6 linked regions of the Macaca fascicularis genome follow. The protein of the gene in region 3 interacts with the protein of the main gene of each other region in a pairwise test. Links are inferred from orthologs where the notes say so. Each region holds a gene or a part of one and is shown on either strand. Other genes may lie near its edges. The genes, in order: RNPS1, U2AF2, SRPK2, SNIP1, ZSCAN9 and FXR2.

Region 1 (4,204 bases), on a different chromosome or scaffold from region 3:
TTTTAAAAAGCAGTAATTGCACTGTACTTTAATAATATGCATATTGAGTGTAGGGGAAAATACATGCAAGTCTGCAATTTACTTTGAAAGAAAAACTAAGATTGAGAAAAACTAAGATTGAAAGAAAAACTAAGATTGATAAAAACCATCTAGCAAATACAGCAGAAATATAACTTACAGACTCTTAACCTCTGAGTTTTGTTTTGTTTTTTTTTGAGATGGAGACTTGCTCTGTCACCCAGGCTGGAGTGCAGTGGCACGATCTTGGCTCACTGCAACCTCCACCTCCTGGGTTCAAGCGTTTCTTCTGCGTCAGCCTCCTGAGTAGCTGGGACTACAGGTGCTTGCCATCAAGCCTGGCTAATTTTTGTATTTTTAGTAGAGACAGGGTTTCACCATATTGACCAGGCTGGTCTCCAACTCCTGACCTTGTCATCTGCCAACCTTGGCCTCCCAAAGTGCTGGGATTACAGGCGTGAGCCACCAGACCTGGCCCTTAAGTAGTCTTTATGTGGGTATTAATTGTATAATTTGACGTTCCTGTGCTTTAAAAATTTTTCAAAAATAAGATGAAAAAAAAGTAGGCACTGAAATTGCATGAGAGACTGCCTGCCATGTAAGAGTTTAGCAAAATGCCTGGACTGCAGAATGTGTTCAAATAGCGGTTACTCATTACTCAAAAGCAAACTAATTAGTTATGGGCCCTATTTTCCAGGGACGCCTTCAGTATTTCCAGTAAAGTTCTGCACAAGCTGCAGGAGTTGTTAAGTGCAGCTCTCAGGATGTGAGTCTCAGCTACTTCTGTCTCACCTTCTCCAAGAGCCAGTTGGTAAGGAGGACACAGCACACCAATGGGGTCCTGGTTTCCCTGTGCAGTACCTGCCAGGGGTGCTTCAAAATGCTGCTGAAAACGTGTTCTGACCCAAGAAAGAAAAGCACCTGGCTTTAAACAGTCAAATGAGCCAAGGAGGGCCGAACACCACCTCTGCTGCTCTTGTCCGGGGGTATCATGTTTTGCTTTAGAATAGTAAGGTTCTGCAGACACCCAGCAGATAGTGCCTCGACACTGTTGGTGTCCTCGGACAGTCAGTGAGTATCATTCAGAGTATAATTCAGAGTCTGCAACCAGAGGGCCTGGGTTTGATTTGAGGTTTTACGGTGTAATTTTCGACAAGTCACTTAACCTTTCTCAAGTTTCTTATCAATATGGTGACAATTACAATTCCAACTTTATAGTTACCCAGGGCATTAATGAAAAGCTCAATAATGTTAGGAGCAAGATTTGTAAAGGCTCCTCCCTCCCCCAGACATTTGTCTCCAAAGTCACACGTAATTTCTGAACTCTCAGCAGGGTTCCTGCACTCATCTGCCTTAGGATCACCTGCAGCAGAAATGTCCAATAGAAACAGTGTGAGGAGCCACAAGCATCACCTGAAATTCCTTAGTAGCCACATCACAAAAATGGGTGAAATTTTTAACACTTGACACATCCAAAATATTATCTTTCCAACATATAATCAACATAAAAATCTACTAATAAAAGTTTACTTTTTTTTCATAGTCTTCTAAAACTGGTATGTGTTTTAACATTTCAGTTTTGATGAGCTGTATTTCACATGCTTAGTAGCCACATGTGGCCAATGGCTACTTCACTGGACAGCACAGACCTAGAGTGGAGGTCACACCCGCAGATTTCAGCCCCACCCCCCCAGACTTAAAGATCTGCCCAAATGTACTTTGTGGAATCAAACACCACCAGTTATTCTCAAGCAGTCCAAACACTAAGAACCACTGAGTAAGCGGACGGCTCGCTGGGTGCGGTCGAGTGCTAGAAAGCAAAAGTTGAGGTTCTCTGTTCACCCAAGTTCAGGTACCGGCTCAGGACCTCGGTTACCTCCCCCATCCTCCGGAAAGGTGCGCGTCCAACAGCCAGAGAGAGGAGAGAACAATTAGTTAAATCTCGAGGAGAGGGCGTTTCGGCATAAATCTTCAGAGCACCTTCCCCATTTAAGAGTACATTTCAGGCACAGTTCATGAGAAATCAAGACAAAAAGCCTACTCCACGTTTCTCCTCCATCAACCTTAACCTTCCCGTATCCACCCCTCTGGGATAACCCATCAAACTGAGCTCGGACACCGTGTTCGGTCCATAGTGGGCCGTATCCCCACGGCCTAGCGCCGACAATTGCACACGGGAGTCCGGGAAACGTTCGCGGAGTACACGTTTGAATTAATGACTCCGAAGGATGGATCGGCCGACCTTCCACCGCATCCCACAAAGAAACTCCGCGCCCGCCGGCACCGGCCCGACACGCCGACCTCGCCGCTCCCCGTCCGCGTTCACTCACAACTTCCCCGTCCAGGCGCCGGGCCGCAAGCGCTTCCAGGGCAGCGCCTGGCGTTGGGGGCTTGGGTCTCCGGCCCGGCGGGAGGGCCCCAAGAACGGAGGCCGCGCTCACCGCTGCTCCGAGTCCCGCGGGCCTGGCTGGGCCACCGCCGAGCGGACGAAGCAGAGGCGCCCTTCCGTCCGCGGCGGCCCCGATCACTTCCGGGCCACGGCCTCGACACCTCCCACTCCGCCCGCCCCGGGCCACACTCTTTCTTCTCGGAGCCCGCACCGCGCTGCCAGGCCACCGCCGCACTGCGGGGCTGAGAAGTGGACCGGCTTCACGATGCGTCCTGCCGGGCCTGACGGGCAGCCCCCGAAACACGGATGCGGTCGGATTCCGCCCCAACTTACATCTTCCCGCCGCCACCACCTCCTCCTGCTTTCCTCAGCCTCCGAGGCCGGCGCCGCTCTGACGTCAGAGTCAAGGAGCGGGAAGACGCCGCCGTCCGGCGCGTAGCGATGACGTAAACGCCTGGCCCAATGGGCGCCGGCGGGGAAGTGTTAGACAGTCAAGGCAGTTTGTGGTAGCCGCGTTGGGGACGTTCAGGGTGTCTCCTCGCCGGTAAAGTCCCTGGGACTGACCGGACTGGCTGCACGCTTGCTGGAGCGAGCACATGGGTAGCCTGCTGAGCCTGGGAGGGCCGCGCGATAACCGATGCTCGTCGTCCGGAGCGGAGGGTGTTATCGCGGCCGTGCCCCGCCCCTTTCCTTGCGCGGGCTCCCTGGACCCGCCCGGGCCGATTCTGGCCCCTGTCGCCGGCGGTGGAGGCGGGGCTCCAGGCCCGGCTGTGCTGAGGGCGGCAGGGTGGTCGCACAGGAGGGGTGCGCAGCCTTTGCGGCCTTGCGTGGCGGGGCGTGGGGGCCTGCAGGGCGGAAGTAGCTCGGAGAGACGGGCTGGGGCAGGACTTGCGTTCCTGCGGTCAAAACCCACTGGTGGCGTTTGGGGTGCTCTCGTGGACGCGGCCTCCGCGCAGGCGGACCTCCAGGGTGGGCGCTGCAGGCGGGCTGTGCGGGCAGGAAGAGCAACGAGCTTGAGGATGGGAGATGGGGTGCAACGGGGGGCGTCTCCGGGCAGGTGACACTGCCGCTGAGACTAGAGTGGAAGGGCGCGCCCGGCGGGGGAACAGCAGACGCCGAGGTTCGCTGGAAGCAGGGAAGGGAGGCCGGGGCACAGGCTCGCAGGCCCGCGCCAAATTCTCAGTGGAGGCAGCACGGAGCGTGTGAACGGCGCAGCGCCGAGGCTTCATCTAACGGCCGGTGCAGGGTCCGAGCAGGGAACACTGTCGACCAGGGTCCGACTCTGGGAGAGTCCAGAGGTGGCGCCTCTGGCAGGCACAGAGGAGGGGGTGACGCTGTAGGGGCCCAGGCAGGAGGCTCCGCGTCAACGCCCCACACTGACGCGGCGGAATTTTTTTTTTTTGACAGAGTCTCGCACTGTTGCCCAGGCTGAAGTGCAGCGGTGCGATCTCGGCTCACTGCAACCTCCGCCTCCCGGGTTCAAGCGGTTCTCCTGCCTCCGCCTCCCGAGTAGCTGGGATTACAGGCACACACTACTACACTCGGCTAATTTTTTGTATTTTTATTAGAGACTGGGTTTCACTATGTTGGCCAGACTGGTCGCGAACTTCTGACCTCGTGATCCGCTCCTAGGCTTTCAGGCTCGCTCCAAAAGTGCTCGCTCCTAGGTTCGCCTTGGCCTCCCAAAGTGCTGGGATTACTTTACAGGCGTGAACCACCGCCCCCGGCCGGGTTTTGTTCACTGCTGTGCCTGTTAGGTAGTCGTTGCCCTTTGATTATTTGTGGAGGGATTGACTG
Region 2 (3,633 bases), on a different chromosome or scaffold from region 3:
CCAGGTGTGGTGGCGCATGCCTGTAATCCCAGCTACTCAGGAGGCTGAGGCAGGAGAATTACTTGAACCCGGGAGGCGGAGGTTGCAGTGAGCCAAGATTGCGCCACTGCACTCCCAGCCTGGGTGACAGAGCAAGACTCGGTCTCAGAAAAAAAAGAAATTACTGCATTGTATTCCTGTTTTCTTCTTAAATTTTTTGTTACATGTCTTTTCAAATGTACCTGAAAGTAGAGACTATGATAGTGATGAGTGTTTATCATAGTATATGTGCTAATATTTTGGTGTTCCTTCATCTGGCTTCAAGTTACCAATATTTTGTCATTCTTAGTTTTCATATTCAGCTTATTTCTCCCCCCTCCTCTTTTTTCTTTGCTGATTTTAAAGCATATCAGAGATATTTCATCTGAGATCATTAAGTATGTTTCTGTAATTTCTCAACTAACATTTGGGTCAGATAACTTCTCTGGGGGGGCCTGCGCTGTGCGTTGTAGGATATTGAGATGTATCCCCACCCTCCACCCACCAGATGCAGGAGCACTGCTCCCCGCTTTGAGACACCCAAAAGCATCTCCAAACATTGCTCCGTGTTCCCTGGGGACAACCCCTCCTCCATTTGACAACCATTGCTCTAAGCAGATAACCTTAAAAAATTGTTCTTTTAACAAAACCACAATAGCATGATTAGATTAGCAAAATTCTTTAGTGCCTATTCCATGTTCAAATTTTTCTGTCTCAAGAATTTTTTTATTTTATTTTTTGAGACGGAGCCTCGCTCTGTAGCCCAGGCTGGAGTGCAGTGGCGCGATCTCTGACTCACTGCAAGCTCCGCCTCCTGGGTTCACGCCATTCTGCTGCCTCAGCCTCCGGAGTAGCTGGGACTACAGGCAACCGCCACCACGCCCGGCTTTTTTTTTTTTTTGTATTTTCAGTAGAGATGGGGTTTCACTGTGTTAGCCAGGATGGTCTCGATCTGCTGACCTCGTGATCCACTGGTCTTGGTCTCTCAAAGTGCTGGGATTACAGACGTGAGCCAGCGTGCCCGGCCAAGAATTTTTCTTCTTTTTTTGATATGGAGTCTCACTCTGTTGCCCAAGCTGGAGTGCAGTGGCACAATCTTGGCTCACTGCATCCTCCATCTCCCGGGTTAAAGAGTAGTAGCTGGGACAGGCACCCCCCATCATGCCCGGCTAATTTTTTTATTTTCGGTAGAGATGGGGTTTCGCCATGTTGGCCAGGCTGGTCTTGAATTGTTGACCTCAGGTGATCCCCCTGCCTCAGCCTCTCAAAGTACTGGGATTACAGGCGTGAGCCACTGTGCCCAGCCAAGAATATTTTTTATAGTTTGTTTCAGTAAGGATCCAGATCAAGGTCCCTACCTTGAATTTGGTAACAAAAGTTTCTATAATTTATCCTTTGTACCTCTCTCCCCACCTTTTTTTTTTTTTTTTTTTTTTGCAAGCTCTTTTATTTGTTGAAGAAATAAGTTTGGCCGGGCGCGGTGGCTCAAGCCTGTAATCCCAGTACTTTGGGAGGCCGAGGCGGGTGGATCACGAGGTCAGGAGATCGAGACTATCCTGGTTAACATGGTGAAACCCCGTCTCTACTAAAAATACAAAAAACTAGCCAGGCGCGGTGGCGGGCGCCTGTAGTCCCAGCTACTTGGGAGGCTGAGGCAGGAGAATGGCGTAAACCCGGGAGGCGGAGCTTGCAGTGAGCTGAGATCCGGCCACTGCACTCCAGCCTGGAAGACACAGAGAGACTCCGTCTCAAAAAAAAAAAAAAAAAAAAAAGAAGTTCATCTGCTGTATAGGATTTTCAGTGTTCATGTAGGCTCATTGTATTCTTCCCTCCCTCCATTTTCCTCTAAATTGGTTTAAGTAAGGTTAGAAGCTGGAAGAGATCAAGATTCAAGTTTTTAAATTTTAGTCAACCTGAGTTTGAATCCTAATTTCTGAGCTTCCCTTAGCCCATTTATTGTTGGGAGAACATGGCTGTTGGGGTGGTTCTGGGAGCGCCCACCATGGTGGCTCGTGTGGAGTAGACGCTTAGCGCAAGGGACCCCTCCCCACGGTGAGCTCGTCTAGGCCTGCCCTCTATGGCTCTGCTGACTCGCCAGCGTGTCTCTCTGTTCTTTCTCCTCCTCCATGCCTATGGTGTGTCTTTGCTTTTTTTTTTTTTGATCCTGGAGGATGTTTGGGTAAACTTCACCGAACCTGCACTAAGGGTTCCTTTCTGACGCCTGTGGCGAAGCCCCCTCCTCCCTGTCCCTTCTGCCTTCAGTTCCGGGGTTGGGTGGGTGCTGGCTGGCTGGCTGCTAGGCTTGAGCCTTGTTCACAAACCTGCCTCTCCTTTCCCCACAGATCTTTGTGGAGTTCACCTCTGTGTTTGACTGCCAGAAAGCCATGCAGGGCCTGACGGGCCGCAAGTTCGCCAACAGAGTGGTTGTCACAAAATACTGTGACCCCGACTCTTATCACCGCCGGGACTTCTGGTAGAGGCGGCTGGGGGAGGGTGGGGGCAGGGCTGGCTGGGGGCTTCTCCCCACTCCCGCCCCCCCCTTATCCCCCTCTGAAGACGATGGGCAGAGGAGTGACAGCCGCAGACACACGACAGCCGGCAGCAACTGGAATGGCAGCAATTAAGGGTGGGGGGCGGGGGTTGGGGGGTTAGGGCAGGGAGGGGACTGGGGAAGTGCGCACACAGCCCACACAGACAACACGCACCCACACAGACACAGAGGGAAGGGGTTGGGATGGGGACAGGGTGCACAGCAGGGCGGGGTAGGACCCCAGCCCCTCCCAAAACAGCCTCTCCTCCCTTAGACCCCCTTTCTCCTCCCCTTCCCCACGGTAGGAACATAGCGTGTTTATATTTTATGGCCAAACTATTCTGAATTTTGTTGTCCGGCCCTCAGTGCCCTGCCCTCTCCCTTCCCAGGACCACAGCTCTGTTCCTTCGGCCTGTGGTCCTCTCTGGTCCCCTCCTGGGTTTCTTACGTAGTTGATTTTTCCTCTTTAGTCTCCCCCGACCTGCGCCCAGCCCCGTGGCCCCTGCCCCTCTCCTACTCTCTGTGGCAGTTTCATATTTGCTAAGACGAATTTGCTCATTAAACATTTTGTTGTATTTTACTTTATCGAGCGGCTGTGTGTCCAGTGTGTCCGACCCTCTTCCTCGGTTCTGGGCTCGGGTGGCGGTTCCCTTGCAAACTGTGGGCCCCTGATGGGGACGCCCTGGTGCCGGCGCCGGCACCCTCGGGGCCTTCCCTGCTTGCGCGGCGCGCTCCTCGGGGTCGGCACAGGCATAGTCCCGGGGGGCGTGAGGTTCCCGAGTGCTCTCCCACCCCGCCGACAGGAGGGAGGGTGGCCGAGCGGGCCGGGGCGGGCGCGGCGTGGGTGCGCCAGGAGCTCCGCGGTTGCCGCCAAGCCAGCTTGAGGGGACCCCCGGCGCCCGCTGAGCACCCCGCGGAGCCCCCACGGCAGCGGGTGGAAATGACGTAAGGCGCCTAGCAACGGGGGCCAGCGCGCCGGAAGTGATGCCTTCCAGGTTGGCTTGGCTGCGGAAGCGACTCCCGCCAGGGCGGGGCGCGGCACGGGAGGGCGGGGAACGCAGCAATTTCCGCTTCCGGTCCGTCGC
Region 3 (3,500 bases):
ACTCAGATTGACATAGCTATGCTAAATGGACAACAGGAATTACTGTAACAAAACTGAAGCTAGAAAAATATTCTGATGACTAAAGGTCAGCTACAGGAAAGCTGTTACTATGTTCTCCTCTGCAGAGAAGTGGGCAACAGAAAAAAATGTTCAAATATAGATGAAGCAGCAACTACAAATTTAAATGGCCTTTTAAAGGGGGACAAAAGTAAATAATTTTAACATTAAAATATAATGTAGCTGGGGTATTTTCCATTTCAAGAAAAGGGTGCAGTTATTTCCAGCAATTAAACTTTTCCAAAAAGTTCCTTATATGTAACATTTGATTCAGATACCTTCAACAACTGCAACTTTGCAAGCTCACAACGCCCCCAAACTGAAATGAAGCTAGCTCAGCTCCCTCACCTGCAGACCCTGAAGGAGGAGGAGCACCTGCTTTCTGCCACTCAGTGGCCTCAGCTGCCATTCTTCTCACATAGGCATCATCCACACACATCAAGATGTTTTCTGGCTTTATGTCAGTATGAATGATCTTGCACTTACTGTGTAGATAATCTAACCCTTGAAGGACCTGGATATAGTAAAATCAAGAGAGAAGATAAGCTATTAATACTTCATTATATAACTTTTATTTATTTGAAAAACATGTAATACGATGACAAGGTACAAAGTTTGATAAACACAAAAGGATATTTAGTAAAAATCTCCCTCCCATGACTACCTGCATAGGAATCCAGCTCTCCTTTCTATAAGCAACAAATATGTATAATTTCAGAGATTATTTATGCTCATGGAAGCAAATGCATCTACATACAGTTGAACCTTGAACAACATGGGTTCACTTATACCCATATTTTTTCTTCCACCTCTGCCACCTGAGACAGCAAGACCAACCCCTCAGCCTACTCAATGCGAAGATGATGAGGATGAAGACCTTTATGATGATCTACTGAATATGATCTATCTACTTAATGAATAGTAAGTATATTTTATCTTCCTTATGATTGTCTTAACATTTTCTTTTCTCTAGCTTACTTTATTGTAAGAATATGCTATATAACACGTTAATCAACTGGTCATGTCATCAGTAAGGATTTTGATCAACAGTATGCCAGTAGTCAAGTCAGAAGCCAGATCCGGATTTTCAACTCCATTGGAGGGGGTTGGTCAGTACCTCTAACCCTTGTGCTGTTCAAGCGTCAACTATACATACTTCAATAACAACTATATTCACGTATCATACAGTTGACCCCTTTAGGTATAGAATTCAATGGGTTTTAGATGTGCGACTATCACTACTATTTATTTTTTAAATTTTTATTTATTTTTTAATTTTTAATTTTTTTTATTTTTTTGAGACAGAGTCTCGCTCTGTCACCCAGGCTGGAGTGCAGTGCGCGATCTCAGCTCACTGCAACCGCTGCCTCCCAGACTCAAGCAATTCTCCTGCCTCAGCCTCCCAAGGAGCTGGGATTACAGGCATGTACCATCACGCCTGGCTAATTTTTTTGTATTTTTAGTAGAGACGGGGTTTCACCATATTGGCCAGGCTGGTCTCGAACTCCTGAGCTTTGTGATCCACCTGCCTTGACCTCCCAAAGTGCTGGGATTACAGGCGTGAGCCACCGCCCCTGGCAACTATCACCACTATTTAAATGACAACACTTTCATTGCTCCAAAAAGAAACAACATATTCATTAGCATTCACTCCCCATATCCCTCCTACCCCATCTAACCCTTAGCAACCACTCATCTACTTGCTGATTCTGAACATTTCCTATAAATGGAATCATATAAAGTATTTTTTGTAACTGGCATCATGTTTTCAAGTTTGACTCTTGTGCTGAATGTATTAGTACTTCACTTATTTTTATTGGCAAATAGTATTCCACTGTATGGAGATAAAATATTTTGCTTATTCCTTCACTTCATGAACATTTGGGTTATTTTCACTTTAGGGGCTATAAAAATAATACTGCCATACTGCTATTCACACTTGCGTATACATTTTTGTGTGAACATACTTTTTTTTTGAGGGGAGGTATATACCTAGGAGTTACCATAATTAGCTCATATCGTGCCTCTATATTTAGCTTTTTGATAAACTGCTAAAGTGTTTTCCACAGTGGCTGCATCATTTTACATTCCTATCACCAGTGTATGAGGGTTCCAATTCTTCACCCTGAACAACACTATCTTTTTTACTTTATCCACCCAAGTGGATATGCAGTATCTCATTACAGTTTTGATCTATATTTCCCTGATGGCTAATGACGTCCATACATTTTTAACACTGCAAGAGAAGGGGGGCTTGATTTAAATAGAAAATAGCCTTAGTATCTAGACAATGCTACAGCATCATACTAAAAGAAAGTGATGAACCAAGATATTCATATTTATCATATTAAAACAATCAATCAAAAACTTACAGTGTCAGTGACCTGAATACAAGGTCAATGTTTTTCTATAATTATTTCCACTGGAGAATAATTTTTTCAATTATTTCCATAAACAAAATTTATTTTTACAAAACAGATCACGTTCTCATATGAGCATTAGAAATTCCAAATGTTAAGCAAATATTACATCAATCACCATTCAAATAATGAATCGAATGGGCATTTTGTTCACAAGAGACAGGAAGTGTTATATGTTTCACATCATCCAACACTGAAATATTCCCAGTTTAATCGACAGTCTGTTATCAGGAAGGCATCTGATCAACAGCAGGCTATTAGTAGTTAGCCTACTGTTAGTAGAAGTTTAAAGTAGCATTATGTAAGTGAGAGGGAACAAAGATTTTACAAGGAAAATGAAAACAGGAGTATCTGTCTCTTAAAAAGGATCAAAATGCCTACAAACATTTAAAACAACTTTACCTTAGGGAGTATTTTTATATATATTCACTGAATGTGCATCGGCTGAGGTCCTATCACATGCCATTATTCCAGGTGTTTGATATATAAAAGCTCCCAGGCTTCATGTTGCTTACAGTCCTCATATCCTCACAGAGCTTACCAATTCAGGACAGGAAATGAGTATGAGCGGTGGGGGAATTGGCCAAAAAAAAAACCAAGATGAATCATGGGCATGGCAAATATTATTTAATAAGATATTGACAAGTTCCTGGTAAGCACCAGTAAAGTAGATAAAACTAGGATAAGATTTTAAGACTTTTGATTTTTTGCCTTAGAATATTTACTGTTTTGGACAATACTGCAATTAGGATATGTTTAAATTACATTTAAAATGTCAAGGCTGTGCTCGGCCTTGCCTTGTAATCCCAGCACTTCGGGAGGCCGAGGCAGGCAGATCGCTTGAGGCCAGGAGTTCAAGACCAGCCCGGCAAATATGGTGAAACCCTGTCTCTACTAAAAACACAAAAAAACTGCACAGGCATAGTGGCACAGGCATGGTAGCACACGCCTGTAATCCCAGCTATGCAGGAGGCTGAGGCACAAGGCAGAGGTCACAGCGAGCTGACATCATGGCACTGCACT
Region 4 (3,500 bases), on a different chromosome or scaffold from region 3:
TGCTTTGTCGTTCAGGCTACAATGCAGTGGCGCCATCTCTGCTCACTGCAACCTTCACTTCCTGGGTTCAAGCGATTCTCCTGCCTCAGCCTCCCAAGTAGCTGGGATTACAGGCATGCACTACCACACCTGGCTAATTTTTGTATTTTTAGTAGAGACGGGGTTTCACAATGTTGGCCAGGCTGGGCTCGAACTCCTGACCGACCTCAAGTGATCTGCCCCCCTTGCTCTCCCAAAGTGCTGGGATTACAGGCGTGAGCCACCATGCCCACCCTATAAGACTTGTTTCTGCTGCCTCTCATGCTCAGTGGCTTGTTTCCATTTCCTTGTGTGTGTCTAGTATTCTTTAGTATTTGAGCCCATGCTTAGAGCTCAAATCTGTTTTTTTTTCTTACCCCACTTTGGAGATTTTTTTCTCATTGGAGATTTTGCCTTGCTTATTGACAGCCCAACAATACATTAAAAATTTAATAAGTATCTAGTTAAATTTAGGTGGGAACATCTCTCCAAGTATTTCATCTGCCAAGTCTATATATAGAAATATCTGGTCTTATTGTGAAACTTGCCCCTTCTCTTTTTTCCTCTCTCATTTAACAATATATTAGATATCTTTCTATGTCATGATCTCTTTCTTTTTCATGGCTGTGAAGTATTCCTTTGTATGAATAGATAATAATTTAACCATTCTACCGTTGCAGGACATTAAGTTGTTTCCAGTTTTTTTATTATGAAATTACAGTAAACACATTGATATGTATGTGTTTGTGCGTTTCTGCTAGTATTTCTGTAGGATTGATTTCTATAAGTGGCATTAGTGGTTGATGAGATTTTGATTAAATACTGTCAAATTGACCTAAATAGGCTATGCTAGTTTATACATGTACCAGCAGTGACTGAAAATACCCATTTTCCTGTGCCTTCCTTTTTGACTGTAGATATTATTGATCTTTTTAATTTTACTAATTCAAGGAGAGAAAATTCATGTTTCTTTTAGAATTTGATGCATTGGTTATTAGGTTAAGCATATCTTCATGCATTTATTGGACATGTATTTCTTTTTTCTTTTTTTTTTTTTTTTTTTTTGAGACAGGGTCTCTGTAGCCCAGGCTGGACTGCAGTGGTATGATCATAGCTCACTTCAGCCTCGACCTCCTGGGCTCAAGTGATCCTCCCACCTCAAATTCTAGAATAGCTGTAATTTTAGATTACAGGTGCATGCTGTCATGCCTGGCTGATTTTTGTATTTTTTGTAGAAGTGGGGTTTTGCCGTGTTGCTCACGCTGGTCTAAACTCCTGAGCTTAAGCAATTCTCCTGCCGTGGCTTCCCAAAGTGCTGGGATTACAGGCGTCACCCACTGTGCTCGGCCCTTGGACATTTATTTCTTCTGAAAATTGTTCATTTTTCTTTCCTTTTTTGTTTTTGAGACAGAGTCTTGCTCTGTCATCCAGGCTGGAGTACAGTGGTGGAATCTCAGCTCACTGCAACCTCTGCCTCCTAGGTTCAAGCAATCCTCCCACCTTAGCCTTCTGAGGAACTGGAACTACAGGCATGCACCACTGTGCCCAGCTGATTTGTGTATTTTTAGTAGAGACGGGGTTTCACCATGTTGCCCAGGCTAGTCTCAAACTCCTGGGCTCAAGCGATCCATTGCCTTGGCCTCCCAAAGTGCTGGGATTACAAGTGTGAGCCACTGGCACCTGGCCATTTGTCAGTTTCTCTGTTGAATTGTTTCTTATTGATATAGTAATATACAGTAGTCCCCCCTTATCTGTGGTTTCACTTTCTACATCTGAAAATATTAAATGGAAAACTCCAGAAAAAAACAACTCATAAAGTTTAAATTGGTCACTATCCTGAGTCATTTGGTGTAAACTTGTGCTGTCCCACCAGGAACATGAATCCTTCCTTTGTCTGGTGTATCTGTGCTGTATGCGCTACCTGCCTGTCCGTCACTTAGTTGTCATCCTGGTTATCAGATAACTGTTGCAGTTTGCAGTGCTTGGATTCAAGTACCTTTATTTTATTTAGTAGTGGCCCCAAAGTGCAATAGCAGTGATTTTGGCAATTAGGAAGGCTAAAGAGAAGCTGTAAAGTGCTTCCTAAACGAAAAGATGAAAGTTCTCAACTTAAAAAAAACTTTTCAAATCCTATATTGAAGTTGCTAAGATCAATAGTAAGAATGAATCTTCTATTGTGAAATTGTGGGGAAGGAAAAAGAAATTCATGCTAGTTTTGCTGTTGTATTTCATACTGTAAAAGTTACAGCCACAGTTCATAAGTGCTTAGTTAAGATGGAAAAGGCATTAAATTTATGGGTGGAAGATGTGAACAGAAATGTGTTACGTTTGATGGCAGTCAGGTTCAGTACTATCCGTGGTTTCAGCCGTCCACCATACTTAGAATGTATCCCCCTAGGACTACTGTCTGGTTTGTGTTGCAGACATTTTCTACCAGGCTGATTTTTTTTCTTCTTTTCTTTTTTTTGAGAAGGAGTTTCACTCTTGTTGCCCAGGCTGGAGTGCAATGGCGCGATCTCGGCTTACTGCAACCTCTGCCTCCCAGGTTCGAGCGATTCTCCTGCCTCAGCCTCCTGAGTAGCTGGGATTACAGGCATGTGCCACCACAGCCGGCTAATTTTGTATTTTTAGAAGAGATGGAGTTTCACCATGTTGGTCAGGCTGATCTGGAACTCCTGACCTCAGGTGATCCGCCTGTCTCGGCCTCCCAAAGTGCTGGGATTATAGGCATGAGCCACCGTGCCTGGCCTAGGCTGATTTTCAATGCTGTCTTTTTCAAGAAATCATGGTATGTTTCTCCATTTCTTCAGATCTTTAAAAAGCCTCTATTTTAATGAATTTTTACAGATTTCTTCTTATATGTCTTTCATGTTTCTTAAGTTTATTCCTAGGTATTGAATTTTTTTTTAACTGTGGAAGTAGGATTTAAAAACTGTTATATTTTCATTTTTGGCATGAGAGAAAGCTAGCTTCTTTCTTTACATATCTTGTACCTGACTACTTAACTCTTAGTTCTATTTTCTGTATATTCTTCCCTGTAAGTTTTCCCATAGTTACCTTTGTTGTGAAAAGGAGGAAATTATTTTTCTTTCTCCTTTCTGGACTAAATAGTCTCTTGTTTTTAGGGCTCTGGACCTGGGCTTGTGCTATTAGGGCTATGGTTGAATAGCAGCATGGGATATCATTTTTGTGGCCTTGCAAGGGAACATAACCACCAGACATAATCTTATTTCTGTGGGAAATGTTGTTCTAAATGCCAAACTCCAAATTACAAAAGACCTTTTGAATATACCTCATTCAAAAAGAACAAGATTTGGGCTGTCTTTAGATTGTGCACTGTGTTAAAATTACAGAATCTGTTTGAATTTCAGGAGCGTGAGGATCATCCCCGGAGAGGACGGGAGGATCGGCAGCACAGGGAACCATCAGAACAGGAACACAGGAGAGCTAGGAAAAGTGACCGGTACAGACACCGGGGCCAT
Region 5 (4,019 bases), on a different chromosome or scaffold from region 3:
GTCACCTCGGTGAATAACGACAACAGGCTTAGGACTCAGGGAAAGAAACCCCCGGGAGAGGAAGTTAAGGACAGTTAAGACTTTGGCAGCCTTCAAGATGGAGAGCCCGTATACCCTCTTACCTCTAGATTCTAAAAGCAAATTAAGGGGCGTTGAATGGACTGGTTTTAAAGTACAGAATGTGACAGTTCCCGATTTCCTTAGTTCTTTGATTCTCAAACCTTATAATACATACAAATCACTGAGGAGCCCGTTAAAGGTGCATATTCTGGGGCTCCCTGTACTTCTCTCCACCTCCCAATTCAGATTCCCCAGATGTCTGCCACAGAGCCTGTCAAGCTGCAGTTAAGCTGCTGCGCTGTGCTTTCTGACATTTTGGAGACCCACATTTTGGGAACACCCCCGGGGTTTCAGGCGCTGCCCGGGTCTCTGGAGAAAACTTCTCCCTTGGGCTTCTTTGGCTTCTTAGGCTTCTTAGGATTGTCCTCACAAAGAAGTTGACCTTGGGCAATCTACCTAACTTTCCCTGGCTTCCATTTCTTATCTAATGAAATAATTATTACAATAAAACCTCAGTGGGTAATTGTGAGGATGAAATATGGTCTTGTATCTGAAAGCATATTGTAGACTTGTGCAATGTTGACTGTTACTCTTAAGTAGCAGCAGGGCGGTGTGGAAAGCTCCAGGGCTTGGAATCCACCCAAGCCTTTCTTTCTGTAAATTTAGTGTAAATAATACTAACTTTAAGTGGTTGTTTTGAAGATTAATTTAAGAAAACTGAAGTAAATAGTAAAGTAAATGTTGGTTCATTCATTTAGTCGACAGTAATAGTATTTCCATTTATTCTTTCTCTAATTTGATGTTTATACAGTGAGCTCAAACTTTTTATTCAGACTTTCTGAGTGATCTGTGCAGTCCCTAATTCATGGGCTGTTTTCCTCCACGAACTCTGTAAAGTATTATTGCTATTTCTTTTTCACATAAAGAAACAAAGACTGAAAGAAAATTTAAAAACTTGGCACAAGGTCACACAATTAGTAAATGTTAGGATCAGAATAAAACCTAGGTCTGGGTCAGGTGTGGTGGCTGACACCTGTAATCCCAGCACTTTGGGAAGCCAAGGTGGGAGGATCGCTTAAACCCAGGAGTTTGAGGTTGCAGTGAGCTGTGATTATGCCACTGCACTCTAGCCTGGGAAACAGAGTGAAATTCCCTGTTTTTAAAAAAGAAAGAAAGAAAGAAAACCCATATCTGGGTAACTTAAAAGCCTATACTCTTTGCACATTATGAATATATATATATTTCCATTATTTCCATCCTTTGGTCACCAAATCACTTTCAGAGGAGAGCTTTAGGGCCTATGATAAATGCTTATATTATCAGTTTCTGTCATCAGTTATTGTCATTTTTCCATATAAATAATTTATTTTTACTGCTTAGGCAGGCGCCTCCAAGGTTTGTCTTGAAGCATAGCTGCAGTTGGAGGGTACCTTTTAAGTTGTTCAAGGTCAAGATGAATACAAACTCAAAGGAGGTTTTATCCCTGGGTGTTCAAGTTCCCCAGGCATGGGAAGAACTTCTGACAATGAAAGTGGAAGCAAAAAGTCACCTCCAAAGGCAGGAATCCAGATTGAAACGCAATAATCCACTGGCAAGGGAAATCTTCCGAAGGCACTTTCGACAGCTGTGCTACCAAGAGACCCCTGGACCAAGGGAGGCTCTTACCCGACTCCAGGAACTTTGCTACCAGTGGTTGAGGCCACAAGTGAGCACAAAGGAGCAGATTTTGGATCTGCTGGTGCTGGAGCAGTTTCTGTCCATCCTGCCCAAGGAGCTCCAGGACTGGGTGAGGGAACACTGTCCAGAGAGTGGAGAAGAGGCTGTGATTTTGCTGGAGGATCTGGAGAGAGAGCTCGATGAACCACAACACGAGGTAGGAAGGGAGATTTGCTAGAGAAAAAAGTGTATTTTGGCATGCCAAGAATCCTTGTATCCTCTGCTTTGTGTCTCCTTGACATTGGTGACAAAATACTCTCCTTCCTGTTTCCTTCTTTTTTGGAAGTGTTTATTTCAGACAGTTAATTTCTTCAAAAGTCAAATCTTGTCTTTTTGTCTCCAGATGGTAACCCACAGACACAGACAAGAAGTCCTCTCTAAAGAGATGGTGCCTCTAGCAGAGCAGACACCACTGAGCCTTCAGTCCCAGCCCACACGTGACTCTGCTCTGAAGTGCCATTCTATTGGAGAGACAGGTGAGGGACAGCATTTATTTGATGTTGAACGAATCTCACCTGGTCAAGCAAAAACAAACAATAAACCCAGAGCTGGGAAAACAGGAGATCCAAAGACTCCTTACCAGATAGCAGCAATGTTCAGTGCTTCTTAGACCCTAGTGTGCTCATCTTTGACCCTTCTCCCTGTGTGCAGACTTCTCTCTGAGTACCATCCTGGAAGCTCTCTGGAGTTCTGATGCATGGTACATGAGGAAGGCTTTCAGGGATCGCTGTGGAGCACAGCTTCAGAGAATGGACTTCAAGGTTTGACAGACAGGTTCAGATCCTGGCATCGCCTCATGGAAGCTGCTTGTATTGGGCAGATTACTTAACCACTTGACCTCAGATCCCTCATCTACAAAATGGGGTTGATAATAGCTTTGGTTTAGTCTACTTGCGCTGCCTTAAGAGAATACCACAGACTGGTTGTCTTTAACAGAAATTTATTTTCTCACATTTCTGAAGGCTAGTAGTCCAAGATCAAGATGCTATCAGGTTTGGTTTCTGGTGAGGCCTCTTTCTGGCTTATAGATGGCCATCTTCTTGCTGTATCCTCACATGGCCTTTCTTTGTGTGCATACAGAGAGAGAGGAAGCTCTCTCATCTTCTTATAAGGACAGATACCATTCCTACCAGATAGAGCCCTACCTTATAACCTCATTTAACTTTTAGTACCTCCCTCAAGACCCTATCTTCAACTATAATCATATTGAGGGTTAGGACCTCAACATATGTGAGGGAATACAATTTAGTCCATAACCAGTATGTACCTCAGAAAGTCATTGTGAGCATCAAATACAAACAATTTATGAAAAGCACCTGGCATGCATTATGCTTAATACGTGGTCGCTATTGCCACAAATCACCAGTGCCACCCTTGCTGATTTGGGTTCATAGTTGCAGTAGAAAGATATGAGATATGCTTAGTAAGTGGCAGACTGTATGGGAGAATCCAGTGAAATCAGACTTTACCATTTCCTTCTCTGTAATCTTCTGAATGGTGGCAGTGGCCACCCTTGTGGATATAGATCTGAGCACTTGGGACTGAATCAGCTGCTTCCCCATTCTAGCCCTCCCTGCAGGAATTATCTCCAGCTTGTCTGATTTCCCACACATAAAATCATACCCTCTTACTGACTTTTTGTTAATCTTCTGACAATCAATCTGTAGCAAGGTTCTGCTGTTTTCAGTTTCATACTACCCCCATATGCATCAAAGCTGCAAATTCCCTTGCCTCTTTGTCTCTAGCTTCTGTTTATTTCATTTACCCTAGCAATTATGGATTTCTGTTACATGGAACACATCTCTCGATTTAAATTAAAGTGTATGTGTTGAATAAATTCTGTGCAGACCTTCCTATAGCTCCCATGACTTTATCAGATTAAAATTGCTTCTGATATCATTTTTCCTCTTTATGAACATCTTTCCAGTCAATTTCTTTTTTTTTTTTTTTTTTGAGACGGAGTCTCACGCTGTCGCCCAGGCTGGAATGCAGTGGCCGGATGTCAGCTCACTGCAAGCTCCGCCTCGCCGGTTTACGCCATTCTCCTGCCTCAGCCTCCCGAGTAGCTGGGACTATAGACGCCCGCCACCTCGCCTGGCTAGTTTTTTGTATTTTTTTGTAGAGACGGGGTTTCACCATGTTAGCCAGGGTCGTCTCGATCTCCTGACCTCGTGATCCGGCCGTCTCGGCCTCCCATTGCTAGGATTACAGGCTTGAGCCACCGCGCCCGGCCTCCAGTCAAT
Region 6 (2,931 bases), on a different chromosome or scaffold from region 3:
GTGCATGCCGGATGAAAAGCCTGGAGCCAGATCAGAACACCACCAAGAAGGCCGGGCCCCAGGCTCCAGAGGCTGCCGTCAGGGAACCCTGCTCCTCATTCTGCCCAACGGCCCAGCCCAAGCCCCAGGCCTCAGGTAATCGGATTAAGCAGCCTGCCTTGGCTCTCAGCTTCTAGCAGGAACAGCTCCAGCTCTGAGCAGCCCTGCCTAGCCTGTGCCGTGACTCAGGGTATAGGAGTGGCCCAACTCCCTCCATCAGCAAACTTGGGGGAGGGGAGAAGCAACAAGGCACAAGCCCCCCTCCTCTGGACCAGGAGGGAGAACCTGGGCCTGGGGAGTTTAGGAATGTCAGGAATTCCCAGAAGTAAGACCATCTTTGGGACAAGAGACAATGAGAAGTCAAGTGTGGAGGAACAGAAAACAGGAGCGGGGGGTCAGGGCAGGTCAGTCCTAGAGAAACAAAGGGACCAAACTGGGGACAACGGCACAGGAGCCAGAGAGCCATTTGGATTTTTTTATTCTCTTTTTAAATACTGTACAGTGAAAAATAAATACGCCTTCTCATCCACCAGACAAGGTTGGTCCCCTCCCCCGGGGGACCTTGTCACCCCCCTTCATACACACCCCTGGTTCTACTCCAAAACCTTCCCCGTGCCTCCCACCCACTTATCTCTTACTATCCCCGTCTTCCACAGTGATGAGGCCCCAGAAATGGGGGGTACAGGATGGGAGGAGGGATAGCAGGGGAGGCCCCCTGAACGGTCAAATCTGGGTGGGTCAAGGAGCACCCCCCACCAACAGGTGGAGAATGGGGGTGTTCAGAGAGAGATTGGGGCATTAGAGGATAAAGGCACATCCAGTCTGATGGGGAAGGAGAGAGGCTCCCCTTACCCTGGGGGTAGGGTGGACAAGAGGGAGGGGGTATGACCCTGTTACACACCCCTCCACTAGCTCCTGGAGGTTGGGGGGTACCCAAGCTGCTGTGCCACCCCCCTCCCCCCTAGATAAGAGCAGCTCCAGCGCAGGTCAGTTGGGCCTGTGAGGGCCATGGTGTTGGGCAGCAAGCGAGATGGAGAAGGGAGGGGTGCAGGCTGGAGGTTTTATGAAACCCCATTCACCATACTACCCAACTCCAAGGGGGCGGAGAGCTCCCCATTCTCCGAGGGGCCCTTAGGAAGCTTGCTGACAGAGTCACCCTGAGGGGAAAGTGGAAAAGAAAACAGACAAGCAAGAAGCGGTGAGTAGAAATTCAGGTGGGAGACATTTCTACCATCCAAGCCCTCCTGGCATTTGGTGATCCAGAGGTTGGTTCCCCCATGATCCAGTATCTCTTACTTGGGATCCACAAAATGTGAACCACACTTTCCTCTCTATCCTATTCAAAGTTTACACTAGTCTAAACTCCACCAGACACCGCTGCCTCTGCAATTCAGTAAGAGATTTCTTTGTGAAATTTGTTGTGCCCTCTGCCCCAGAGTAACAACAAAAAAGGGATGGGTAAATCACATCTTGCCTGCCTACCTTCTGTCCTGAAAGAGAGTCCTCTGAGGGTTTAGTGCGTTCCAGGGGTGGCCGCTGGCGGCTCTGAGACTCTGCTCGTGAGATATAGTCAGCCACAGTCACTGGGGAAGGCAGGAGATTAAGACTTTCAGATGGAATTCTGGTAGCCAGCCCAAGACACCCACTGAACCCGAACCCCTGATTTTCACAGGGTAGGAAGCATCCCATTCTCTCAGCTCTGAGGAAGGATTCTGGTGTCCAGAGTTGGCTGACCTGGCTGGCGGTCTCCACTGATAGAACCATCAGTCCGATTACCACGGTTACGGCGGCGGCGGCTGCGATTACGACGTTGAGGTCTTGATTCATCTTCTGTAGGGCAGGAAAAAACCAGAGTCACACATCTAACCTCTCACCCTCGATTCCTACCCATGTCTAACTTTCCAGACTCCAGGCACACCCTCACCCAGGCCATTCTCTGTCATGTTGGGCCCATCTGATTCCAGGCCTCCATCCATGACGGTCCTGTCTTCATCAGTGCGGCGGCGGCGGGAGCGGCGGCGCCTGGCACTTGCTGGGGGGGGTTCCCCAGGTTCTGAATCAACCGGGGGCTCTGGTTCAGATGTGTCCAATAGGCTGTAGGGATTACTGTCTGGATCCTTCAGCACTGGTCAGAGGAAGAAGAGGAGAAGGTGGCATTCAGGTGCCCATCATCTTTTGTTTTGGCCCATATTCATGAACCCAGCTGTCTGGTACCTGAGCTAATAGATGAAGAATTATATCTCGAAGTGGGCCGGGGGGCAGGTGGGGGTCCCCTACCCCGGCCCCCAATCGGCCGCCTCCGGCTTTCTTCCCCTCGGGTTGGGGGATCCCTGTCGCCAGGCCCAGCTCGGTTGGGTTCCTCTCTCTTCTCTGACTCAGTCTCTGAAGCTGTAGACACATCTGAGCTGGGGCCTGAAGAACACAGTGGGATTTATTCACGGCCATTCGTCCTACCTCAGGATCCATCACATTCCCCAAAATGGAAGAATTCTCCCTCTCACTCACAAGTCCCCCAGCCAATCAATCACTTCTTTATCATCTCCATCCCAGATTTCCCCAAACTTCCATCCAGACCTCTGCCTCTACCCACAAGCCCTGCCACTCCCTGCCTCCTGTTCCCAAGCTGTCTCACCATAGGCAGGACCGCCTGTCCTCCGGCCACGGCCACGGCCCCCATAGCTGCCCCCATAGGTTCGAGTCGCATGGAGGGAGGAGGAGGAGCTCTCATCGGTGCTATATCCAGCCTTGTCACTGCCACCGCTGCCCCGCCCACTCCCAGGAGGGCGAAAGCCCAGCCCAATCTGCCGAAGCTGCTCATCAATTTGCAACCTCTCCAAGCGAAGCTGCTCTACCTCCTGGTTGGGTAAAAGACGGAAGAAGAAGCGAAAGGAG

Evidence for each region.
Region 1: the proteins of SRPK2 (region 3) and RNPS1 interact in binary tests that used the Homo sapiens proteins (3 or more experiments, as listed by UniProt). The link is inferred for Macaca fascicularis from reciprocal best matches to the Homo sapiens genes SRPK2 and RNPS1.
Region 2: the proteins of SRPK2 (region 3) and U2AF2 interact in binary tests that used the Homo sapiens proteins (3 or more experiments, as listed by UniProt). The link is inferred for Macaca fascicularis from reciprocal best matches to the Homo sapiens genes SRPK2 and U2AF2.
Region 4: the proteins of SRPK2 (region 3) and SNIP1 interact in binary tests that used the Homo sapiens proteins (3 or more experiments, as listed by UniProt). The link is inferred for Macaca fascicularis from reciprocal best matches to the Homo sapiens genes SRPK2 and SNIP1.
Region 5: the proteins of SRPK2 (region 3) and ZSCAN9 interact in binary tests that used the Homo sapiens proteins (3 or more experiments, as listed by UniProt). The two-hybrid records come from large-scale screens. The link is inferred for Macaca fascicularis from reciprocal best matches to the Homo sapiens genes SRPK2 and ZSCAN9.
Region 6: the proteins of SRPK2 (region 3) and FXR2 interact in binary tests that used the Homo sapiens proteins (3 or more experiments, as listed by UniProt). The link is inferred for Macaca fascicularis from reciprocal best matches to the Homo sapiens genes SRPK2 and FXR2.

The regions. Positions count from the first base shown.
Region 1 is NC_088394.1:3,040,702-3,044,905, forward strand, and holds the start of RNPS1 (RNA-binding protein with serine-rich domain 1), read right to left. Parts: upstream 2,801-4,204; 5' UTR 2,743-2,800; coding exon of another isoform or gene 2,741-2,742; 5' UTR 1,549-2,740; exon of another isoform or gene 811-1,548; intron 1-810. UniProt on the Homo sapiens protein: Part of pre- and post-splicing multiprotein mRNP complexes. Auxiliary component of the splicing-dependent multiprotein exon junction complex (EJC) deposited at splice junction on mRNAs.
Region 2 is NC_088393.1:63,627,017-63,630,649, forward strand, and holds the end of U2AF2 (splicing factor U2AF 65 kDa subunit), read left to right. Parts: intron 1-2,360; coding exon 2,361-2,495; 3' UTR 2,496-3,133; downstream 3,134-3,633. UniProt on the Homo sapiens protein: Plays a role in pre-mRNA splicing and 3'-end processing. By recruiting PRPF19 and the PRP19C/Prp19 complex/NTC/Nineteen complex to the RNA polymerase II C-terminal domain (CTD), and thereby pre-mRNA, may couple transcription to splicing.
Region 3 is NC_088377.1:146,659,102-146,662,601, forward strand, and holds part of SRPK2 (SRSF protein kinase 2), read right to left. Parts: intron 572-3,500; coding exon 406-571; intron 1-405. UniProt on the Homo sapiens protein: Serine/arginine-rich protein-specific kinase which specifically phosphorylates its substrates at serine residues located in regions rich in arginine/serine dipeptides, known as RS domains and is involved in the phosphorylation of SR splicing factors and the regulation of splicing.
Region 4 is NC_088375.1:197,383,772-197,387,271, forward strand, and holds part of SNIP1 (smad nuclear-interacting protein 1), read left to right. Parts: intron 1-1,698; exon of another isoform or gene 1,699-1,706; intron 1,707-3,389; coding exon 3,390-3,500. UniProt on the Homo sapiens protein: Required for pre-mRNA splicing as component of the spliceosome. As a component of the minor spliceosome, involved in the splicing of U12-type introns in pre-mRNAs. Down-regulates NF-kappa-B signaling by competing with RELA for CREBBP/EP300 binding.
Region 5 is NC_088378.1:144,973,194-144,977,212, reverse strand, and holds the start of ZSCAN9 (zinc finger and SCAN domain-containing protein 9), read left to right. Parts: upstream 1-1,219; 5' UTR 1,220-1,360; coding exon 1,361-1,933; intron 1,934-2,119; coding exon 2,120-2,252; intron 2,253-2,427; coding exon of another isoform or gene 2,428-2,543; exon of another isoform or gene 2,544-3,629; intron 3,630-4,019. UniProt on the Homo sapiens protein: May be involved in transcriptional regulation.
Region 6 is NC_088390.1:7,640,283-7,643,213, forward strand, and holds the end of FXR2 (RNA-binding protein FXR2), read right to left. Parts: exon of another isoform or gene 2,895-2,931; coding exon 2,672-2,894; exon of another isoform or gene 2,452-2,671; coding exon 2,254-2,451; exon of another isoform or gene 2,165-2,253; coding exon 1,964-2,164; exon of another isoform or gene 1,870-1,963; coding exon 1,774-1,869; exon of another isoform or gene 1,712-1,773; intron 1,623-1,711; coding exon 1,522-1,622; intron 1,197-1,521; coding exon 1,101-1,196; 3' UTR 501-1,100; downstream 1-500. UniProt on the Homo sapiens protein: mRNA-binding protein that acts as a regulator of mRNAs translation and/or stability, and which is required for adult hippocampal neurogenesis. Specifically binds to AU-rich elements (AREs) in the 3'-UTR of target mRNAs.